Lonchura striata: one gene and its partner. The protein of the gene in region 1 purifies or fractionates together with the protein of each later gene. This does not show direct contact. Links are inferred from orthologs where the notes say so. Each region holds a gene or a part of one and is shown on either strand. Other genes may lie near its edges.

Region 1 (7,006 bases):
GGCCCCTGCATGGCAGCTCTGATTGTAATTATCTATATTTATTTAGACAGATATCTGTATTTATTTAGCCATTTGCTGGGCTCTGCGTGCTTGCTAAAGTAGCCTGCTGCTGTATGCAGCCAGACCAGATGCTGCTGCCAAAATGCAGTAACTGTAGAGCTGCACCCCAGACAACTACTTTGGTCTATTTTTAACTAGTGGTTAAATATTAGGAAAACTGTCTGAGCCCATAATATTCTCCCTTCAGTCTCTTTTGAACATTTTATGGCATAATTAGCTACAAAAAGGGAATGGGGGAGAGCTGCCTGCATGACCTTTTGTTGTTTCCAGTCTCCAGTATTAATTATTTTCCCTGCTACTCACACAGGATGTTTGATTCTTTCTTGTCATCCCAGCCAAAAGGATAAGATAACCAGAGCAGAGCCTTCTCAACCCTTCACTGCAGCCACTTACATTTGCTCCTTCCTACCTTGGAACAAAGGCATTGTCTCTCTCCAACAAAGAAAGCTTTTCTCTGAAGTGTTTGCCAGGATGTGAGTTGAACAGGCCTTTATAAAACCACAGCTCCTCGGAGAGCCCGATCCAGAGAACACTGCAGCAGCAGCAGCACTGGAGGAGGGGGCTGGTGCAGGAAGGCTCTGCTGGGAGGGACACGACCTTGCCCCAGCCAGGCAGGGCAGGGACACCGGCATGGGCAGGCTGCTCTTTGGAATGGAGTACTGAGGTACCTGGCTTTGTTCCAGGTTGCTGCCTCCCAGGAGGGAAACTGCAGCCAGCATGGATCATCCCAAGGAGCTCACTCGGGCGTTGCTTAGGCAGCTGCACTGCTTGGTGAAACCCATGGGGAAACCAGTGGGTATAGGCACAAGTATAAAGAAGCAGGATAATGTTAACTGTTTTATTATTCACCTTGGTGCAGCCTTGGGAAGGGAAAGAAAGCAGGGAGAAGTAGGAGTAGGGAGAGAGGGAGAAGCTCTAAGGCTGCCAGGGCTGGGAGCTCAGGCTCTGTGGGGTTCAGAGCCCTGATATTCGATGTGAGGGTGAAGGTGGTCCTTCCTCATCTAACACTGCCTCAGCTGGCAGCAGCAGACAAAGGCAAACTTAAGTGACTTTGGTAAGAGTTCCACGGATTTATTTAAAAAACTTTAGTTGCCATTTTTAGCTCAGCAAGGCAAACATAATCAAGCACATTTTCCCTGTAGCACAAGGAGAACAGACCTGTAACATCACTTCTTTTAAGTGGTCCGTGGTCTTGCATCCACGAGCCGTAGCGAGGACTCCTGGGGAACTTGGAACACGTAGGCACAGCCTGTGCTGTGTGACATGGGAAACACCCTGTTGGGAGTCAGGAGAAATGATTCCACTCTACTTCCATGTGACTGCTTCTTCCCTGGCAAGGCTGCTGTGCTGCCTTCAGATGCTGCTACTCAATTAGAAGTCTCTGCTGTCAATGACTAAGTCTGTGCGAGTGCTTTGAGCAGGAACTGCAAGTGTTACAACAAGCAGCAAGGAGAAAACCACAAGTCACTTCCCAACTACAGTAGAACAGGAAAACTTGCAAAATAGATCAGTAGTTTCCTAGTTTTACAATTCCCTGAACGTTTTCTTGAAAAGGATCCATGCAATTGCTAGGCACAAACCCCATGTCCCCACTCTGCTGCCTTAACTATGCTTTTTAGTCACCAATGGCATTTTAACAAACTTTTTTCATTCTCTGGCACACAACTGATTCCCTTTTGCAAACAAAACTCTTTAATGTTAGAACTTGATTTGCAGTTTGAATTATCAGCATTTTCCTCACCATCACACAGCAGAGGCCAGGGCTCCAGCACAGCAAGTCTCATGCAAATACTGAGAGAGAAAGCTGCTGGTAACATATGCATTGCACAAAGAGCTGGCCAGGGAGACCCTTTGAACTTGTGGTTTGATGGGCTGGGATGTGCTAGTGCTGGGAAAGCTGAAGGATGTGAAACGTCTATTAATGGAGAGCAGGGATGAGCACAGTGCAGTGAAGCTTAGAAACTACATGGACAGCAGAGAAGGATGGGATTTGGAACAGCTATAATGGAAAAAATAAATCCCAGTGGCAAAATGAAGCTGACAGCAGAAGATGCCCATAGATTCAAGATGATTATCTGTGTGGACACTTGAGGTTGTAACGTCTTGAGAAACCAGGGAAGGAACAAATAGAGATAATTCAGCAGGATAAAATGCTTTTGCTATCCTTATTCTGTGTCAAGGAGGCCTAAGCGAAGGGGCAGGGTGGGTCAGGATAGCGCTGGCAAAGCCAGCAGCCATCAGAGGCCCGCGGAGCCGGGTCCGTCCTGTCCCGGGACACAGCTAAGCCCTGCCCGCGGAGCCGGGTCCGTCCTGTCCCGGGACACGGCTGAGCCCTGCCCGCGGAGCCGGGTCCGTCCTGTCCCGGGACACGGCTGAGCCCTGCCCGCGGAGCCGGGTCCGTCCTGTCCCGGGACACGGCTGAGCCCTGCCCGCGGAGCCGGGTCCGTCCTGTCCCGGGACACGGCTGAGCCCTGCCCGCGGAGCCGGGTCCGTCCTGTCCCGGGACACGGCTGAGCCCTGCCCGCGGAGCCGGGTCCGTCCTGTCCCGGGACACATCTCCGAGCCTTCCCTGCAGACCCAGGTCCGTCCTGTCCCGGGACACGGCTGAGCCCTGCCCGCGGAGCCGGGTCCGTCCTGTCCCGGGACACATCTCCGAGCCTTCCCTGCAGACCCGGGTCCGTCCTGTCCCGGGACACGGCTGAGCCCTGCCCGCGGAGCCGGGTCCGTCCTGTCCCCTCGCAGCTCCGACAGCAGCTCTTGGTGCTGCTCAGTACAACCACAAATCCTGCTGGGAATCACAGGGCCAATACACTTCGGCTGCCACTGGAAAATGACAACAGCTGGGGACAGGAAAAACCGAAGAACATCTTTAATAGAATACAAGTTGTGACTTGAAGGCTTTTAAGAGCTACATGCTGGGCTGGCCCAGGGGAGACCTTCCAACACCAACGGATCCAATGATCCATAACACTGACCCTTCATGGATTTTGGGAGGGGATTTAGGGCTATTTGTAATCCCAAATCCTTCATCCGGCAAAGCAGTGCCGTGGCCGGGCAGGCACCCGACCCCTTCCCTATCCTATGTGGCAGGCAGGACCTCGACGGGCGCGGCGGGGACAGGGCGCTCTTCCAGCCGGGAAGCCGGCGGCGGGAACCGGGGAGCGGCGGGAACCGGGGAGCGGCGGGAGGCGGGGAGCGGCGGGAACCGGGGAGCGGCGGGAGGCGGGGAGCGGCGGGAGCCGGGGAGCGGCGGGAGGCGGGGAGCGGCGGGAACCGGGGAGCGGCGGGAGGCGGGGAGCGGCGGGAACCGGGGAGCGGCGGGAGGCGGGGAGCGGCGGGAACCGGGGAGCGGCGGGAGGCGGGGAGCGGCGGGAGCCGGGGAGCGGCGGGAACCGGGGAGCGGCGGGAGGCGGGGAGCGGCGGGAACCGGGGAGCGGCGGGAACCGGGGAGCGGCGGGAGGCGGGGAGCGGCGGGAACCGGGGAGCGGCGGGAGCCGGGGAGCGGCGGGAGCCGGGGAGCGGCGGGAGGCGGGGAGCGGCGGGAACGGCGGCGGTTGGCGGGAGCGCTCGTGCCGCGCCGCACGCACCGCGGGGGGAGGGGAAAGCGGCGGCCCCGCCCCCCCGCGCGCGGGCATTCCCGGCCGCCGCCCGCCCCCGACCTTTCCCCCAGTTTCCAGCGCGCGCTGCCCCGCCCCTGCCGGCCCCGCCCCCTCCCCGCCTTCCCGCCGGCCGTGCCCACGCGCCGCCCTTCCCGCCGGCACGCCGCGATCACGCCGCCCGCCGCCGCTCATTGGCCGGGCGCGGGCCGCGGCGGGCGCTGATTGGCCGGCGCCGTCCCTTCCGCGCGGTTTGGCGCAGGCTGCGCTCGGAGCGCTCCCTCGGCGCGCGGCCGCGCCGCTCCCGGCGGGCGGGGCCGGGAGGAGGCGGCGCCGCCGGGTGCCGCTCCCGCCGCTGTGTGCGCGCCGCTGCCGCTCCCGCCGTGCCGCTCCCGGGAACAGCGCTGCCCACGCCGCCCGCCCGAGCCGCGCCATGCACGGCTCGCCCTGCTCGGACATGGGAGATGCGCCCGCGGTGAGCACCGGGCGCGCGGAGGGAGGGCGGGAAGAGGGGCGGTGGGGATGGCCAGCGCCGGTGCAGCCCGGGCACGTGCTCGGCGCCGGGCGGAGTGCGGGGACCGCCGCCGCCTCGGCGGGGGCCGCTGCCCACCCGGCGGGGGGCGGCTTGGTTGGGCAGCGGGTCCTGGGCGGCTGTGCCAGGGCAGAGCCCTCGGAAGGGAGCGTTCACCTGCAGGGAAGGGGGGCGGCCCTCCTTCAGCGACCGTGCGGGGGCGGCGGCGGCAGGGTGGGAGCTGCCCGCCGCCCCCTTCTCCTCCTCCTTTCGGTGGCACCGCCCGGCCGCGGGGAGCGGGCGGGGGCCGCTGCGGCGGGGGAGGCGCTGCCCCGCGGCGGGACCCGCGCTGCCCCCGGCACTGCCCGCAGTGCCCGCTCCTCCCTGCCCGGAGCGACCCGCGCTGCCGCATCTCCCTGCCCGCCACGCTCCCTGCCCGTCCCCGTCCCGCCCGTCCCCGTCCCGCCGGCCGCCCGCACGTAGTTCCCGGCGGGGTGATGCGAGGACAGGCGCGGTTGGCCATTTCCCTGGCAGCAGCCGGGGAGCCCGCGCTGCAGCGCTCGTCTGCAGAAAGAGCTTTTTCTGTCAGGGTGGTTTTTTTTAAAATTTCGGAGTGTGTTTTGAGGAAGGGAGGCACATTTTTTTTAAGGTTTCTCTAGGGAAAGCTGCTCGCCTGAAACGTAGGGTTGGAAAAAATAAACCTGTGTGCTCGGCTGCTTGCAGGCGCGCTTAGAGGAGCACTGGCAGACTGCTCAGAGCCAGAGCCCCGCCTGGCCTGGCCCGGTGTGACAGGCGGGTGAGGTCCAGGCTTGCAGGCACACATCGTGTTTTCCTCTCATTGTTTTTCAGTGGCAATTCTTAGAAGTCTGTCTCCAAGGTGTTAATCGCTTTTACCCCTTCCGGCCCCCGAATCATGACATCTCCGTGCCTGGTACCTCATGTTTTAGGTGAAGGTCTTTTGTGAGTGCAGTACTAATATTTTTGATCCATTATGTTTAGCATGTTTGCCTGCACATCCCTAGAGTGTAAATACAGCTTTATATCTTTGTGACACTGTTCAATAAGGATCATCTCACATTACTTAACTCAGTAACAAAACCCATTGACTTAGTGTACAGGTTGTCAACCAATGAGTAGAATTCCTTCTAGGGCTTGAGGCCATGCTAATGGTGTGGTGTTGCCTTTAGAGTAAAATCTTTTTCCTGCAGTACATAAACATTCTGTGAAACAGCAATAGGCTCAAGAGGCTTGGTCCACACTTCTGAATCTCAGCCTTCAAATTAGTTGGTGTGTCTAAAGACTGGAGGAGCCTGGATGCCTAGCTGAGACTGAGCTGGCATGTCAGTAATAACACATTAACCTAGCATAGCTTTTGGAGTCACTGCGAAACACTGTGAGAGCTTTGTGAAGTTTAGATATCCTTGTGCACAGAAGTCAAGTGTTTTGCATGCGTACACATGCCCACACAGATATTCTCTGATGCTTGTAATTGGAAACAAATCAGTATGATTACATTTGTCTTTGTTTTACTCTTAGTGTGCTTTAGATACCTAGCATCAGGCTAGGTTTAGATACCTATGTAGCATCAGGCCTTTCTGAAGTACAATGCAAACAGTTCTCACTGCACTTTGAAGACCATTTTCCTTCTATCTTTTCCCTATCCTGGCTTCTCTATTAAAAATACTTTGTGATGTGCAGTACTCCAAGGCAATGATCATACCTTAAAGCATCTTACCAGCAGCTGAAATTTATCTTATTTCCAGAATGAGATTAGTGCTGAATAGTCTTTTGGATTCAGGAAACAGCCTTGTCTAAACAAGGTTCAAAGTCAGGATTTTCCTCTTTTATGCTTGTATGCAAGCATACAAGGGGTGTGTTTGTTCAGACCAGTGTCATCCAGGAAAGTAAGCGTGGAAATGCGAGCCATGCACATCTGTTATTTTCCTGGAAAATCACATGTCTTCTTTTTTTTTTTTTTTTTTAAGAGAAGGGAATGTGAAGACAAGCTCAGGGGACAGTGAGAGATGAGCCAGTTGGTAAAAGTCTTGCCACGGGCATGGGATCTGTTTCAGTTGACCTTCATTGTGAGCAGACTGTGTGTGGGTGGTGTCAGTTTTGTATTCTGACTTGTCCTAACAGCCAGTAATCTGATTACACGCAGGTTGACATCGTGGACATCTATGAGTCCATCCGTGAACGGCAGCGTCATGACAGTGAAAGGTCCACCTGCAGCACCTTGGAGCAGAACGACATTGAAGCTGTTGAAGCCCTTGTTTGTATGAGCTCCTGGGGTCAAAGATCACAGAAAGGTGACATATTAAAGATAAGGCCCCTCACGCCCTTCTCGGATTCTGGGGATTTCACAATGCATGCCGAGGCTGCGGCTGAATTACCAAAGGACTATCTATCGACACTGGTAAGAAAAGCATGAACACAAATAAATATGCCCAACGCGTGGATGTCACATCCCTGCAGTGCTTTAACTTGGCTGGAAAAGACAGGCTTGCTCAGGTGTCCCTTTGTCATAGCCTGTGCTGTATGTGTGCACAGAGTCAGGAGGTGGGCATGTTGAGTTTGTTTTTTTGCTCTCTCTGGTTTAGCAAATGTAGAGGCTTTTGTTAAATTTAGGTGTGAAAGACAGGTTATTGGATTTGACGGGGATGTCACCATGGCTGTTGTAGGTTTCTTGGAGCACTTTGAGTAAGAATGGCAGAGTGAGCCTTGGTGATTAGGCATCAACATATCTGCAAGCACTGTATAAAAAAAGGCCCTTGATGATATTATGCTTCGCTGGTCATTTTAAGAGAAAGTACACACTACCATTATGAAATAGGCAATT
Region 2 (6,887 bases), on another chromosome or scaffold:
GAAGCAGAAGGTGGGAGGGATGAGGATAAGACAGTTTGGGGGGAGGAAAAGCACGATTTCCTTTTGTAAAGAGCGTACCCATGTGAAAAACTGCTAACTTCACCTCAGCAGGGAAAAAAAAAAACAAACACCCTAAAAAGTGTTTTTCTGTCCTTGGAGATCCAGCACAGGCTGACACCAGGCTGCCAAGGCACTTTATGTGATGAAGGAAGTCTTACAGATGCTTTAAAATTAGTATATTAAAATAAAATGCCATTTTAATTTAAAATACTGCACTATATAGTTAATCCTACATAGTAATGTAATCTTATATAATAATGTTTACTTTTCTGAAAGTGTATTTTGAAAAATAATTACAAGTTGGGAGTGAAAAATGGCCAGTAAAGATACAGCTGTACTGAATTAAGTTGGGCATTTCCCACTTGTTTACTGACCCTGCACCTTTTAGCACAACTAAAAGCGGCAAGTTAAAGAGAAACATGAGGTGTTATGTCATCTTTAAGCTACACTTTAACACATAGACCAGGTTTAGATTCCTCTAGACAGCGTGGGAGACTGAAAATCCACGCACAGCTGGAGATGCCTTTGATAATTTGTTTAAAATAGAGCTGACACAACTAATTTTGCCCCATTTCAGTGGTCCAAATAAATAGGTTTCTTCAGGGATGTAACTTCTATCTAAGCACATGTGCTATTCACACAAATAACGTGAACCCAGGCCAGGAAAAGGCAGAAAAACCAGGATTTAGTTAAGCGGACATAAACACCATCCTACTTTTAAAGCTACCTGAACTCCACTAGGTCCTGCTAGCAAAAAAAACCCTACAAACCTTAAAGTAGTTTCTAGGGATGTACACGAGCCTGAAGAATTTTTAAAAAGGGATGAAATACCAGCGTAAGCGTCTGCCAAGTTCACAGCACGGGAGGACGAGCAGAAGGATCCGGCTCGCTATAAAAATCGCAGGAAAATTAATGAGTGCACGAGGAGCTCTCGGGTTTCCCTGCATCCACGCGTCGCTCCAACAGGTCCTTCCGGAGAGCTGCGCTACGGAGCCGGAGAGCGGCGAGAAGCCACGGGGGAGCCCGCGGCCGTGCCGGAGCGGGACGGCGGCGGGGGGGCGGCCCGGCACGGCGCTCTCACGGCAACTCCGCGGGAAGTTGGGCGGGCCCCGGGACCGGGAGCACCGCGCCCCCCCCGCCGGCTCTCGGAACGCCCCCCCGGGCGGGCGGGAGCCCCGGCGGCGGCTCCGGCGCGCGGTGCGGCCGGTACCGGGGCCGTGCGATGCGGGCGAGCGCTGCCGGGGGCGGTCCCGCCGCAGCCCGGGAGCGGCACCGGGCGGAGGGCGGGCGGAGGGGCGGGGGGAGGAGGCGGCGCCCGGCTCGCAGCGCGCCCAGCGGCCGCCGCACGCTCCGCCCGCCGCTCCCGCCATGCCGGGGCCGGGACACCCCGGCGGGGCGGGGCGGGGCGGGAGGACGCGCGGCCGCCCGCGCGGGCCGGGGCTCCCCGGGGAGCCGCGCCGCGGGCACCGACCGGCCCCCCCCCAACCCCGCGCCGCCGCCGCACCGGCGCCGGGCCCCGCCCCCTACGGATCGCCGGAGGGGGCCGGCCCCGGGCCCGGCGGCCTCCCGTCCCCGCCGCCCCGCTCTTCCTTACCTCGAAGCTGCTCCTGGCAGCGGCCGCGTCTCCCTCAGGGTCCGGGGGTGGCGGGCACCTCCCGGGCGGGCGGCGGGGGCGGGCTGTCCCCGGCGCAGTGAGAAGGGGGGGTCCCCGCGCCCCTCCTCCCGGAGGGGGGGGGCGGGCGGGGGCGGCGCCGGTGCCCCGGCGGGGGCGGGGGGCTCGGCGGGGGGGGTAAGATGGAGTAACCGTCTGTCGGCCGCCGCGGCGGAGCGCTGCCCGCTTCTCTGTTCCCCGGGAAATCCCGCCCCTCCTCGCGCAGGGGGGGAGCCCCGAGCGCCCGTTGGCTGGGACGCGCGCCCGTCACTCTCTCGGCCAATGGGAGCGCTGGCCCCGCCCACCAGGCCCTCCCCTATTGGCCGCGGCCCCCAGGAAGGGGATGTGGAGAGGAAGGGAGGGAGGAGAGGAGGGGGGGGAGCGACCGCCGAAGAAAAATGTCCGTATAAGCAGCGCGCCCCGCCCCCGTCCCGCCTCCCGCGCCGCCCTATTGGCTGCGACACCGGAGCGCCGGCCAATTGGCGAGCGGGGCCGCGCCGCCGTCACGCCGAGAAGCCCACCCACGCGGCGAATTGGCCCTGCCCGCCACCGGCGAGGCCACGCCCCCCTCTCTGGGGAGCCCTTTTGTGGAATGTTTACATCGCGGCCGCGGCCCGCGCCAGCGGCTGCCCCCGTCAGCCCCCCCACCGGCCCCGGGCCCCGCCGCCAACCGCTTCGGCGGCGGGAGTGGCGGGGGGGACTTGGCGGCGGGGCTCGGTCCCGGGGGCGGCGCGGCGCTGCCTTTTGTCCCCGACCCCTTCACTTCCGGGATGGCGGCGCCCCACGTGGGGCGGGTCGGTTACACGTGCGGGCGGGGAGCACACGGCACACGCACACACGGGCTCCCGCACACGCCCCGCACACTCGCACACGCTCACACTCACGCACGCACGCACCGAGGAGGAGGAGGGGGGGGACCGTGGGCAGTGCGCGCCGCGGGGGGCGGCGCCCTCAGCGGCTGCAGCCAATGGCGTGCCAGGAAGGGGGCGTGGCCACCGCGGCAATGGCCCCCGCCCTCCCCCCGCGCACACACACTCAGTCACTCGCCTCCCCCCCCGCCCGCTCCCGCCGCCGTCGCGCGCTTCCCGCCGGCGGGATCCGCAGCGCGCGCGCGCTTCTCTCCCCTCCACCCCCCCCGCCGCCTTTCCCTCAGGTTCCCGCCCGGCCGCCGGCCCGGCGCTCGGGAAGCGATCCCCGTGAAGGGGGGCGAAACTGGGAAAGTGCGTGTGGGGGAAGCAGCTGTTACATACCCTCAGCGCGCAGGCGAGCAGCCCTGAATGGAGGGGGAACTCCCCCCGGGGCGGATTGGCCCCGCGGCGCCGATCGTCACGGCCGCGCCGCCCACGGCGGGAGGGGGGCCGCGGGCAGGGGTGTGAGGGAAAGGCCGCTCGGCGGAGGGCGGGGGGAGCCGAGCCGGCCGGTGCCCCCGCGGCGGCAGCCGGCGTTCCCCTCCGCTGGAACGCGAGATGGAGGTGGGGGTCAGTGCCGTCAGTCATCGTGTTTCTCTCCCTTTGCAAAGTTGCGGAGGGGGTTGCCGGCTTCCCCAGACGGAGGCTGCGGGAGCCAGGCCTGGCCGCCCGTCAGTGCTCATCTGGGCGTCTGGAGCGTGCTCGGGAAAGGGTGAAATACAAACACACATATTGCACGCTTCTATTCAAGTGTGTGTTTCGAGCACCTTCTTCACTCAGAGAAGGTCTAAATCTAGTTGTTTTTTGTTCTTCTTTCCAGCTGTTCTTCCCTCTCTCAGGCTGGGAGAGCGTTGCAGGAGCAGGCAGAGGGCTGCTGCCGGGACAAGCCGGCACAGCAGAGGAGCTCTCCGCAGCTGGGAGCTGCAGCTCGGATTAACCCCTGGAAGGGCTCTCGACACCGGGCTCTGAGCCTGCACGGGCTGCAGTGCCACTGGAGATCGAGCCTGAACCTTGGAAATCGGAGGCAAGGAAGCAGAAGGGCTGGGAAATTAAGAGCTCTGGAGCTAGGCTCTTTCCAAACTCCCAGGGCGCAAAATTACAAGCACTAAAGTAATCGTCATTAGCGAGGTGGCGTGCATGCAGCCAAGAAAGCCAAATGAGACAGGTGGGCACAGCGATGGCAGCGCCGCTTTAGGATTGCCCTGCAATGCCTTTAAATCCCTGTTTCCAAACTCCAGCGAAACTTGGGATTTTGTTCCTGGAATTGCCTGTGCTGTTACTTTTGCCCGTGGTGGCTGATCCCTATCTCTGGGCCACTTCAGGGAAGGGGAGATCCTCCAGGCATCAGGCTGCTTGCACTCAACAGCCCATTTTTCCCACCGCTTTCCAAACAATACAAAGTTTTTCTTTCCAGAAACTTTTGGCTGTCTGTGTGATGTGACCATTTCCAGAGAAATCCTTATTGCTACTGCTGAGTAGGACCTGCTGGCATGGACAGAATGGATGGAACAAAACATCATGTTGTGCAAGCGGACTGAAAATGCTGGCTTTGAGAAGAAAGGCAGCCCTGGAAATAGTAAGGGAGGGTGTGTTTGGGTTGTTTTCCCATGGAAAAGGTTTACAACCTTTTCCTCCGCCTCCAGCACAGATGGGATCTTCATCACTCCTCAAAGGGAGCAGCATATCCGAGCTGTTCCCATTCAGAGGCAGCGCTGGTTATCTCCCTCCCTCTCCTCTGGTTATTCCTACTCGACACCCAGGACGTGAATCTTGGAAACATTTTGCTTCTCTGTGCCCACATCACGTGGAATTGAGCTAGAATGCACAACCACCTTGACCGTGTGCTCAGAGCGGGCTTCGTTGGGATTTCACAGCCAGTGGAAGAGAGACATGAGCTGGGCACATTCGTGGAGCCACGTAGGACACTTGGCATCACCTGCAGCTTTCAGATCTGGACCCAACACATTGCCAAAAGCCCCGCTGAGCTACAGAGAGCTGCTGCTGACAGCACAGGATTAACAATAAACTGCTAACACTCCCCTCCTGCATGTGTGCCGAGAAGAAAGCCCAGCTGGGTGAAAAAGTTTGGCAGTGAGGAGGTAGGGCCACAGGAGCCTTCCTTCAGAGGATGAGAGCTCTCTTAGAGGAGCCACCCTGCAATAGGTGCCTGGAGGGAAACTCTGGGGCAGCCTGAGCCACAGGAGCAGAGCAAACTGCCTGGGCTGATGCTGCTCCAGGAGAGAGCTGGGTGGAAAAAAGTACCTGGAAGGATGGGACATGGCAGCTGAACCAGAACCACTCTGCAGGCAGGATGTGCACAGCTCCAGGACTGCTCCCAACACCCACCTCTCGTGCACTCCTGTGCAGCCCTTCCAGACGGATTCCCTGCTGCCTCTGGTTCTTTTCCAGCCTTGCAGTGCTTGTGTCTGACCTCAGTTTGGCACAGCCAAGCCAGTCCACCCCCAGAGCACAGGGGAAAGCTTCTCCCTGTGCTAGTCCTAGAAAGACACTGGCATCCCTCACGTTTTTAGGCTCCAGCTGAACAAACACAGGTGCGGCTCTTCACACCCGCCAGCTGCCCTGCTCTGGGGCATGAGCTCTCTCGCTGGCTCTAGGGCTTCATTTGCACAAGCTGCCTTTTTTATTCCCTCATCCCTAAGCCTCAGGCTGCGCCTGCTGCTCTGGGACTGGCATTGCTTGCACCTGAAGGCACTGGTGCTGCCTGACAGCCCAGGAGTTCCCCCTAATTTTTGTGCCCTATTTGCCTGCTCAGAGGGGATTCAGAAGCACAGAGGCGATGTCTGCACCCCCAAATCCTGCAGCAAAAGGCAGCAGCAGGCAGATACCATGGCCAGACAGAGACTGATGTCCTAAGGCTTGTCAAGGCCCTGGGAAGAGGCAGGAGCTTGGAGCAGGGTGGCTTGTGTCGCCCCTGGGTACACCAGCTCATTGTGCTGCCTTCCCTCCTGACACTATCCGGCCCGCCCAGGAAAGCTTCCTGCAGCCTGGTTATCTCTGTCTCAGCCTCACCCAGGCCAGAATAAGCCCTAAGCACAGCCCTGTGCTCCTCAAAGTTCACAGGTAGCCAGGGATGGGGCCAGCTGAATTTAGAGATCACAGCCTGTGCAAAACCCTGAATTCCCTCCTTCTGTCCTGCCCAATGCCCCCACAACAGCAAAGAGGACTGGTCACTGGTGGTATATTTATATATCAATACAAATAAAAACAAAACAACTCCCAAAAAAGTAACAACAACAAAAAGGTCTCTCTGAGAGCAAAATAGGAACATTTACAAATACTTCTGGCTCCGGCTTGGATCAAGTTAATGTTAAATACAAAAAAAACCAAAAAAAAAAAGCCAACCCCCCCCCCCCAAAAAAAACCCCAAAAAAACAAACAAAAAAAAATCCCTAAAGAAAACAAAACAAAACCAAACCTCCCAAACCCTGTGCCCTCCTCCCCCAAGATTATAAAAAAATAAGAATATACACATTCAAAGAGCTTATTACAGTATAAAGTTGGGGAGGCCCTGGCAGTGGCAGGGGTTGGGGCCGGGGCAGAGGCTCGCTGCCTCTCCAGGGTTTGGGGTTTACTCTTGCTCAGCGCTTTCCCAGCCCATGACTCAACGCAGGGCTGGGCCCGCGGGTTCCCAGCGGCAGCTTGGGAAAGCCGGGCAACCTGGAGAGCCGGTCGGTCCCCACGGCCCCGTCACCTCGTACCTAGTGACTCCCTCAGCGGCACCCAAGGGGCAGGGGATGCCTGCCAGCTCGGCACCCCCCGGCAACCCAATCTTCCAGATCTTCCCAGGAGCACAGCTGCTACCTCTCCATGGGGAAGATGAGACAAAGAAACGGGGGACACTATCAAGTATCCTTGTGCCTCCGGCGGGATGGGCACAGGAGTGGGTACTGGGTCCCAACGTTGCCCATGAGGGGAAATAAGGAGAAGGGGGAAGACAAAACAGAGCCAGGACCAAACTCACCGCTCCAGAGGTCACAGCAGTGAGGTGGCAGGACAGCGGGGACCCTTGGGAGCTGCTAAAGGGGAGGTCGTATATATGTATCTATATAATAGGCAGGGGGTCACAGCGGGGGTATATTATATACACACATACATACAGACACACAGATGGAGCCTCAGGTGAGACCGAAGCACGTGCCTCTTCCTCAGCCCCAGGACTGGGAATACATTTCCTAGGACTTTGCAAAGCCCCTCTCTAGGTACATCTTAGGTGGTCCCGACAACAACAAAAAAACCAAAACCAAAAC

The links. The genes of interacting proteins can lie anywhere in the genome.
Region 2: the proteins of KLF11 (region 1) and SIN3A purify together in Homo sapiens (affinity purification with western blotting, with the first as the bait; 3 studies listed by BioGRID). This does not show direct contact. The link is inferred for Lonchura striata from reciprocal best matches to the Homo sapiens genes KLF11 and SIN3A.

The regions. Positions count from the first base shown.
Region 1 is NC_134605.1:99,041,346-99,048,351, forward strand, and holds the start of KLF11 (Krueppel-like factor 11), read left to right. Parts: upstream 1-3,994; 5' UTR 3,995-4,089; coding exon 4,090-4,131; intron 4,132-4,995; exon of another isoform or gene 4,996-5,114; intron 5,115-6,328; coding exon 6,329-6,583; intron 6,584-7,006. UniProt on the Homo sapiens protein: Transcription factor. Activates the epsilon- and gamma-globin gene promoters and, to a much lower degree, the beta-globin gene and represses promoters containing SP1-like binding inhibiting cell growth.
Region 2 is NC_134613.1:5,632,176-5,639,062, reverse strand, and holds the start of SIN3A (paired amphipathic helix protein Sin3a), read right to left. Parts: upstream 3,006-6,887; 5' UTR 2,962-3,005; intron 1,732-2,961; exon of another isoform or gene 1,655-1,731; intron 1,129-1,654; exon of another isoform or gene 892-1,128; intron 1-891. UniProt on the Homo sapiens protein: Acts as a transcriptional repressor. Corepressor for REST. Interacts with MXI1 to repress MYC responsive genes and antagonize MYC oncogenic activities. Also interacts with MXD1-MAX heterodimers to repress transcription by tethering SIN3A to DNA.